2 linked regions of the Xenopus tropicalis genome follow. Each later gene encodes a partner of the first gene's protein in a complex. Links are inferred from orthologs where the notes say so. Each region holds a gene or a part of one and is shown in the gene's direction. Other genes may lie near its edges.

The links.
Region 2: the proteins of oprm1 (region 1) and pomc are in contact, whole or in part, in a cryo-EM structure (PDB 8F7Q), measured with the Homo sapiens proteins. The link is inferred for Xenopus tropicalis from reciprocal best matches to the Homo sapiens genes OPRM1 and POMC. Residues at the interface, in NP_000905.3 of Homo sapiens: Ser66, Met67, Ala70, Ile71, Met74, Gln126, Asn129, Tyr130, Leu131, Met132, Gly133, Trp135, Val145, Ile146, Asp149, Tyr150, Met153, Arg213, Ile217, Asp218, Cys219, Thr220, Glu231, Lys235, Val238, Ile298, Val302, Lys305, Trp320, Ile324; in NP_000930.1 of Homo sapiens: Tyr237, Gly238, Gly239, Phe240, Met241, Thr242, Ser243, Glu244, Lys245, Thr248, Pro249, Leu250, Val251, Leu253.

The regions. Positions count from the first base shown.
Region 1 is NC_030681.2:43,442,299-43,446,737, forward strand, and holds the start of oprm1 (mu-type opioid receptor), read left to right. Parts: upstream 1-1,465; 5' UTR 1,466-1,954; coding exon 1,955-2,241; intron 2,242-4,439. UniProt on the Homo sapiens protein: Receptor for endogenous opioids such as beta-endorphin and endomorphin. Receptor for natural and synthetic opioids including morphine, heroin, DAMGO, fentanyl, etorphine, buprenorphin and methadone.
Region 2 is NC_030681.2:153,208,653-153,213,249, reverse strand, and holds the start of pomc (pro-opiomelanocortin precursor), read left to right. Parts: upstream 1-1,676; 5' UTR 1,677-1,715; intron 1,716-4,597.

The DNA.
Region 1 (4,439 bases):
AGGAAGGGTCTGAATCAAGTTGATATCAGCCAACTCAAAGGCTGTGCATTATAAAGTATTTCCAGTTTACCTGCAATCAGGACTGAATACACCTGAAATCTAATAATCTACTATGTGTGAAAGAAAGAAAGAAAGAAAGAAAGCAAGCGTGTTGGTGTCTTCCTAATCACAACATATTTCAGAAAGTGCAGAAAGCAAGCTATTCCTGGGCACCAAGCTTGTGAAGGTGTGAGAAAGGATTACATATAGCTTTTCCTCTTGCTGCAGATAAAGGCCAGGGAAATGATAAGGATATTATTTTTATTTGAATCATGTTGTGAAATAAAGGCAGAATAACTGACCCCTATGAACTGTACAATAAACCAGATAGGCACCCCCACCCACACCTGACCAGGCTATGGCAGAGCAGTGGTTTGTAGCGGAGTCAGTAAAACAAGCTCATCTCATGCCATTTTTTGTCTCACATCTGTCTTGTCATTTAAATTCCAAGGGATTAACAAATAATGAAAAATATTATGTGTGTTGGTAGAGGCAGCAAGTATGTGTGTGTTGGTAAGCTAGTAAGTGTGTATGGGTTGGTGAGTGGGGTTAGTAGTGTGTTTATTGGTTGGTTAGTGGGGTTAGTAGTGTGTGTATGGTTTGGTGAGTGGGGTTAGTAGTGTGTGTATGGGTTGGTGAGTGGGGTTAGTAGTGTGTGTATGGTTTGGTGAGTGGGGTTAGTAGTGTGTGTATGGGTTGGTGAGTGGGGTTAGTAGTGTGTGTATGGGTTGGTGAGTGGGGTTAGTAGTGTGTGTATGGGTTGGTGAGTGGGGTTGGCAGTGTGTATGGGTTGGTGAGTGGGGTTGGTAGTATGTATGGGATGGTGAGTGGGGTTGGTAGTGTGTATGGGTTGGTGAGTGGGGTTGGTAGTGTGTATGGGTTGGTGAGTGGGGTTAACAGTGTGTATGGGTTGGTGAGTGGGGTTGGCAGTGTGTATGGGTTGGTGAGTGGGGTTGGTAGTGTGTATGGGTTGGTGAGTGGGGTTAGCAGTGTGTATGGGTTGGTGAGTGGGGTTGGTAGTGTGTATGGGTTGGTGAGTGGGGTTGGATGTGTGTATGGGTTGGTGAGTGGGGTTGGTAGTGTGTATGGGTTGGTGAGTGGGGTTGGCAGTGTGTATGGGTTGGTGAGTGGGGTTGGTAGTGTGTATGGGTTGGTGAGTGGGGTTGGCAGTGTGTATGGGTTGGTGAGTGGGGTTAGTAGTGTGTGTATGGGTTGGTGAGTGGGGTTGGCAGTGTGTATGGGTTGGTGAGTGGGGTTGGCAGTGTGTATGGGTTGGTGAGTGGGGTTGGCAGTGTGTATGGGTTGGTGAGTGGGGTTGGCAGTGTGTATGGGTTGGTGAGTGTGTATAAGGTGGTGTATATGGTTTGGTAGTACTGTGCTGATAGAGGTAGTTAGTAGGGTGTATGGGTTGGTGCTGAGTCTGTACTCCTTTGTTTAACTCTTTGTAGCCCAACGTCAGATGAGCAAGCGACTCATTATTAGCGGAGCTGGGCAGTGTTAGTGCGAGTCAATTAGCGCCTGACGGCGGCGGGGAGGCTAATGGGGCTGCTGGTGCGGTGGCTGCTGGCGGTGAGGAGAAGAGAAGAGGCGGGGTGTATATAATAGGTGGATGCAGAGGGGACTAGAAGTGGAGGATTAATGCCTGGAAGAGAAGACACGCACGGCTCTCGCACTGTTGGGTACAGCCATTCCTTGCGCTTTCCCAGCGCTTTGCTATCACCCTCCTTGCCCGCTCCCTGGCCCCTTGCAGCTGGCTGAGCGCTTTCTCTGTGACTGACAGGAGAGGGGGGAGAGCAGAAGGGGCAGCAGTGCGGGGGGAGGAGGAGGAGGAGGAGAGCCTCATTGGAGCCACTCTACATCCAGCGCTCACATCCTAGCGCCTCTTAGCACCAAACTAGCACTCGCTAAGCTCAAAATGGACGGTACCCCGAACAGCTCCCTTCGATCTGCCGACAGCCTGCTCAATAGCACCCTTAGCGGCTTGGGTGACAATGGCTCTCAGATTCCAATGATATGTCCGGTTGGCGGCATGGGCAACTGGAGCAGACTGGAAGGCAACCAGTCATACTTGTGCAACCAGTCAGAGACTTTCCCGGAGGACAGCGATTCCATTATTATAGCCATCATCATCACCGCTCTCTACTCCATGATCTGTGTGATGGGACTCTTTGGCAACGTCTTGGTCATGTATGTCATTGTCAGGTAAGCACTTCACTCCTGATCATGTATGTAGTTGTATGGTAAGCACTTGACTCCTGATCATGTATGTAGTTGTATGGTAAGCACTTGACTCCTGATCATGTATGTAGTTGTATGGTAAGCACTTGACTCCTGATCATGTATGTCATTGTCAGGTAAGCACTTCACTCTTGATCATGTATGTAGTTGTCAGGTAAACACTTGACTCCTGATCATGTATGTAGTTGTCAGGTAAACACTTGACTCCTGATCATGTATGTAGTTGTCAGGTAAACACTTGACTCCTGATCATGTATGTAGTTGTTAGGTAAACACTTGACTCCTGATCATGTATGTAGTTGTCAGGTAAACACTTCACTCCTGATCATGTATGTAGTTGTATGGTAAGCACTTGACTCCTGATCATGTATGTAGTTGTATGGTAAGCACTTGACTCCTGATCATGTATGTAGTTGTCAGGTAAACACTTGACTCCTGATCATGTATGTCATTGTCAGGTAAGGGCTTAAGCCAGTGCCCCTTCCTTCATGCCTGGCACCCCACCCTGGCATTTCGCAGTCTGATGTCTCTCGCAGGCAGTGGGATTACTGTCGCTAATTGCTACTTACTAGAGATCATGTATTATTTAAGTGGATTCACTATAACACTGTATCACACAGTACATTGGGAAACCCACTCATTGCAAACTCTTGGGAGGAAAGGGGATGTGATCAAATCAAACACTAGCAATGTGAATTGTTTCATTAAGAAGCAATGATCATATGTATTTGCACAGATGTATATACTATCCTGTGTTCCACAAGTATCATACAGTGGGTGCCTTTTCCCTACTACTAGAGAAGGTGCATAAAGTACAATACTTCCCATCTAGATCCATGGTCTTCCTCTATGTTGAAATGAATATAAAGTTTCCCTGTGCCCAGTGGACCTGCCCTAGAGCCAACCTTCCCACAGGTCCCTCTTCCCCTGCTAAATCGTACACACGCTCATCAAAGGCTTGATGCCAGGAGCACTTAGATTATTTTTGGATAATAAATATCACTTATCAAGCTTCTGTTAAAATAAAGCAATAGATGAACTTAGAGATGATAGAATCATTTTGTTCCCATTATCAATACAGTATAGTATAGGTGTTGCTACAGAGAGATAAAGACATTGCTGTTAATTAAAGTAGTTTTATTACATATAACTTTTCCTATACCTATAATGATCAGTGAAACAGTATCAATATGTACACAGTGCCATCTATTGGAAGTGATAGTGACATCCTTAACAGGAATCAGGGAGTACGTTTTCCAGACCAAGCCATTGTGGCTAATAACATTGAACTGGAAAAAAATAGCAAACAAAAGCATTCTGTCCATTTTTTTGTTTTATGTTGGTGGTTTGCACCAAGGGGCCAGTCATACAAGTAGGCTGTTGCTTAATTCTAATTCTGTGCACATGTACTATATACAAGCGACATATCTTGGTGTGCCAAGTCAGCACTAGATGCTTCATTAGAGTGTCAGAGTGCAAGGCCTTGAAGATTATTTGGCTTTAGAATAAACATTATTTTTGTGTTACTTTATGTGCATTTTTCCTTTATTTACCTGTATTATTAGTCAATACAACATATTCCGCAATGCTTTTACAATGATTATACATTATTCCTAACAGTCCCTGCCCCAATGCTTACAGAGCTTACAATCTAGTCTTGATTGCAATCACACACTATGGTCAATTTTATCAGGAGCTAATAAACCTGTGCCTTGTATATTTTCCTTTATTCTTCCACAACAGGACACCTAAGGGCTCATTGACAATCAGTGGAGCAGGGTGCCTAGTCATGGTCACCTAAAGACCTGACTCTTTTTGGATTAATGCAGTACTGCCTGTCTTTAGCAGCACCATATTTATAAAGGGTTGCCTGAGGAAGGCAAGAAGGTGTCCACCTTCCCACTCACTACCTGCCCCCTAAATGGGCTGCCATGTTCCTGCCAGTGCAGAGCACAGTTATACCCCAGGGGCAAAGTGCTGAGTGAATAAGAAACTTCATCCTCCTTAGTGCACTTGTATCTGGCTTTTGTAAATGATGTCTCATATCAGTTCATTTGCGCTACAAACAGGGCTCTAAGTGAATGATTTTCCTGGAAACATTTAAAGTTTTTTTTATTTTTTGTTTTGTTTTTCATCATTGCAGTCCATTCGCCGTGAAGTAA
Region 2 (4,597 bases), about 110 Mb from region 1:
GTCCCACCCCACTGTCCCACCCTACTGTCCCGCCCCACTGTCCCACCCTACTGTCCCACTCCACTGCTCCACCCTATTGGCCCACCCCACTGTCCCACTCCATCCACCCTACTGTCCCACCCTACTGTCCCACCCTACTGTCCCACCCTACTGTCCCAACATACTGTCCCACCCTACTGTCCCAACATACTGTCCCACCCTACTTTCCCACCCCACTGCTCCACCCTATTGGCCCACCCCACTGTCCCACTCCATCCACCCTACTGTCCCACCCTACTGTCCCAACATACTGTCCCACCCTACTGTCCCGTCCCACTGTCCCACCCTACTGTCCCACCCTACTGTCCCACCCCACTCTCCCACCCCACTGTCCCACCCTACTGTCCCACCCCACTGTCCCACCCTACTGTCCCACCCCACTGTCCCACCCCACTGTCCCACCCTACTGTCCCGCCCCACTGTCCCACCCTACTGTCCCACTCCACTGTCCCACCCTACTGTCCCACCCCACTGTCCCACCCTACTGTCCCACTCCACTGCTCCACCCTATTGGCCCACCCCACTGTCCCACTCCATCCACCCTACTGTCCCACCCTACTGTCCCACCCTACTGTCCCACCCTACTGTCCCACCCTACTGTCCCAACATACTGTCCCACCCTACTGTCCCAACATACTGTCCCACCCTACTTTCCCACCCCACTGCTCCACCCTATTGGCCCACCCCACTGTCCCACTCCATCCACCCTACTGTCCCACCCTACTGTCCCAACATACTGTCCCACCCTACTGTCCCAACATACTGTCCCACCCTACTGTCCCACCCCACTAGTACAAGGCCAACCATGACTTTAGAAAGTCCAAATTTAGATGAGCAACTGCCATCCTGAAACAGGAACGAAAGAAAACACTGAAAGAGCTTCAATAGTTACAATTTATAATAGCATTTTCTTCAATTTTGTTCAACTTATTCTTTTTTTCTTGCTATAAGGCCAATGATATGTAACTAGTAGTCTGTCCCACTGTGTAGTAAAAGTAACTTTTGCTTCTTTAGCCCATGTTAAAGAGTTCAATATGGGACCCGTTTTCCAATACTCCTGATATTTCTGATACATGTAGTCGACGCAATCAAGACCTGTTGTGGATTCTGTTAGGGTGGATAGAGGCAATTGACCCCCCTGATCCCCATGTAAATGCCCTTTCTGACCAACACCTGTTCCTTTAGTGGCTTTTCCCTATTAGATGGAAACTGGCCGTCACCCTAATTAAAGAGTAGCAAAACCAATTGGGTTCAACCCGCTCAGAATACACCATTTACGTATTTGCCTTGATCATTTATTGCTATTTAATGCCAACTGCAAAGGGTGAATAGCTTCTAATTAATCTCCGTTAAAAAAGTTCAATCCCGGGGGATTGGGGAACCTTTGTCTTTCTATAGGGAAGGTGCTAATCCCTGTTGTCCACGGAGATATCATGTACATGACTTTCCAGCAACCTTTTCTTTCCTAATCATCCGTTCTGTCTCTTACATGCAACCTTATACCCTGACTTTTCTCCTCCTCCTCCTCTTCTGCTGGGAAAGGTCTGTCCGGAAGATCCTCCGTTCCCTTCTCCCCCCTAGACAATGCTAAAATGTGGTATATAAAGACCAGCCCTGGAGATGAGAGAAGGACACAGGCAAAGAAGTGCACAGCTTGGAAATACTGAAATCAACAGGTAAGAAAGCCCTTTCCCACATACAGTCTCCCTTTCCTCATACATTGCTTATACCTAAGCCTTCCCCTGCCTCTACTTTATTCCTTTTGATTTTTTAAAGTTTAGAAAAAGCCCCCCCAAAAATATTTAATATTCTTTTATTGAAACAGGTTCCCTCTTCGTTTGCTCTTCTTTTATCTGTGTTTTCAAAAATGTACTGCATTGCAATTTCATGGGCAACGATATTAAATAATGACATGAAACAATTTTTAATGGCTTTTAAATGTAATAATATGTGTAAATATAGCAGTTTTAAAATCTAAAATGGTTTTAACGATTTTGTAATACAGGTATAGGATCCGTTATCCAGCTCCAAATTACAGATAGACTCCTTTTTAATCAAATTTTAAAATATGTTTTCCTGTTTTTTCTGTAATAATAAAACAGTACCTGTACTTGATCCCAACTAAGATATAATTACCCCTTATTGGGGCAGAACAGCCCTATTGGGTTTATTTAATGTTTAAATGATTTCCTTTTCTCTGTAATAATAAAACAGTACCTGTACTTGATCCCAACTAAGATATAATTACCCCTTATTGGGGCAGAACAGCCCTATTGGGTTTATTTAATGGTTAAATGATTCCCTTTTCTCTGTAATAATAAAACAGTACCTGTACTTGATCCCAACTAAGATATAATTACCCCTTATTGGGGCAGAACAGCCCTATTGGGTTTATTTAATGGTTAAATGATTCCCTTTTCTCTGTAATAATAAAACAGTACCTGTACTTGATCCCAACTAAGATATAATTACCCCTTATTGGGGCAGAACAGCCCTATTGGGTTTATTTCATGGTTAAATGATTCCCTTTTCTCTGTAATAATAAAACAGTACCTGTACTTGATCCCAACTAAGATATAATTACCCCTTATTGGGGCAGAACAGCCCTATTGGGTTTATTTAATGGTTAAATGATTCCCTTTTCTCTGTAATAATAAAACAGTACCTGTACTTGATCCCAACTAAGATATAATTACCCCTTATTGGGGCAGAACAGTCCTATTGGGTTTATTTAATGGTTAAATGATTCCCTTTTCTCTGTAATAATAAAACAGTACCTGTACTTGATCCCAACTAAGATATAATTACCCCTTATTGGGGCAGAACAGTCCTATTGGGTTTATTTCATGGTTAAATGATTCCCTTTTCTCTGTAATAATAAAACAGTACCTGTACTTGATCCCAACTAAGATATAATTACCCCTTATTGGGGCAGAACAGCCCTATTGGGTTTATTTCATGGTTAAATGATTCCCTTTTCTCTGTAATAATAAAACAGTACCTGTACTTGATCCCAACTAAGATATAATTACCCCTTATTGGGGCAGAACAGTCCTATTGGGTTTATTTCATGGTTAAATGATTCCCTTTTCTCTGTAATAATAAAACAGTACCTGTACTTGATCCCAACTAAGATATAATTACCCCTTATTGGGGGCAGAACAGCCCTATTGGGTTTATTTAATGGTTAAATGATTCCCTTTTCTCTGTAATAATAAAACAGTACCTGTACTTGATCCCAACTAAGATATAATTACCCCTTATTGGGGGCAGAACAGCCCTATTGGGTTTATTTCATGGTTAAATGATTCCCTTTTCTCTGTAATAATAAAACAGTACATGTATTTGATCCCAACTAAGATATAATTACCCCTTATTGGGGGCAGAACAACCCTATTGGGTTTATTTAATGGTTAAATGATTCCCTTTTCTCTGTAATAATAAAACAGTACCTGTACTTGATCCCAACTAAGATATAATTACCCCTTATTGGGGGCAGAACAGCCCTATTGGGTTTATTTAATGGTTAAATGATTCCCTTTTCTCTGTAATAATAAAACAGTACCTGTACTTGATCCCAACTAAGATATAATTACCCCTTATTGGGGGCAGAACAGCCCTATTGGGTTTATTTCATGGTTAAATGATTCCCTTTTCTCTGTAATAATAAAACAGTACCTGTACTTGATCCCAACTAAGATATAATTACCCCTTATTGGGGCAGAACAGCCCTATTGGGTTTATTTCATGGTTAAATGATTCCCTTTTCTCTGTAATAATAAAACAGTACCTGTACTTGATCCCAACTAAAATAGTTTATAGTTAACTGAATCTATCATGGCAGCAACTGGTTAATGCAGAGACACACATATATAAATAAATAAGTAAATATATATATATATATACACTCACACACATATTTATTCAATAACGTCGCAGCAATGAAAACACTTTACTGTAGAACAGTTTGAAGTTGGAGCTGAATGGCTGCGCAGCGCGGGGCTCCATACAATTCATACAAAGGCACCAAGGTTATTCTTCAAACCCTCTTATCAATATTTATTCTTTTTTATCTCTTTATTTGGTGAGTTTTATTGGCTCTGATAAACTTACTGTATATGTAATGTGTATCCTACACCGGCGTTAGAGTTGTTTAATTCCAAGCAAGTTATACAGATTATGTCCAATGTGTTATTTGGATTTAATTATAGTTTTATTACACAAGGGACTAAACGTTTTTCACTGTCATTCTTTTTCCCATATATATATATATATATGCAGTATATATATATGTATATATGTGTGTGTATGTGTTTGGGGTAACAGAATGAAAGTGAAAACACAAGAACAACAGATCCTATTAGAAACACAACCCATTCATTCATTTTCTATATAAAATATATAATAAAATGTATTATTTTGACTCACTTACAGTTGTATTGGACAAGGGACTAAAAGTTTTTTACCTTCATTCTTTATCCTATGTATCTATCTCTCTATACAAGTCTTTTATGGGGTAAGAATGAAAGCAAAAAGCTACACAAAAAGAGTATATTCA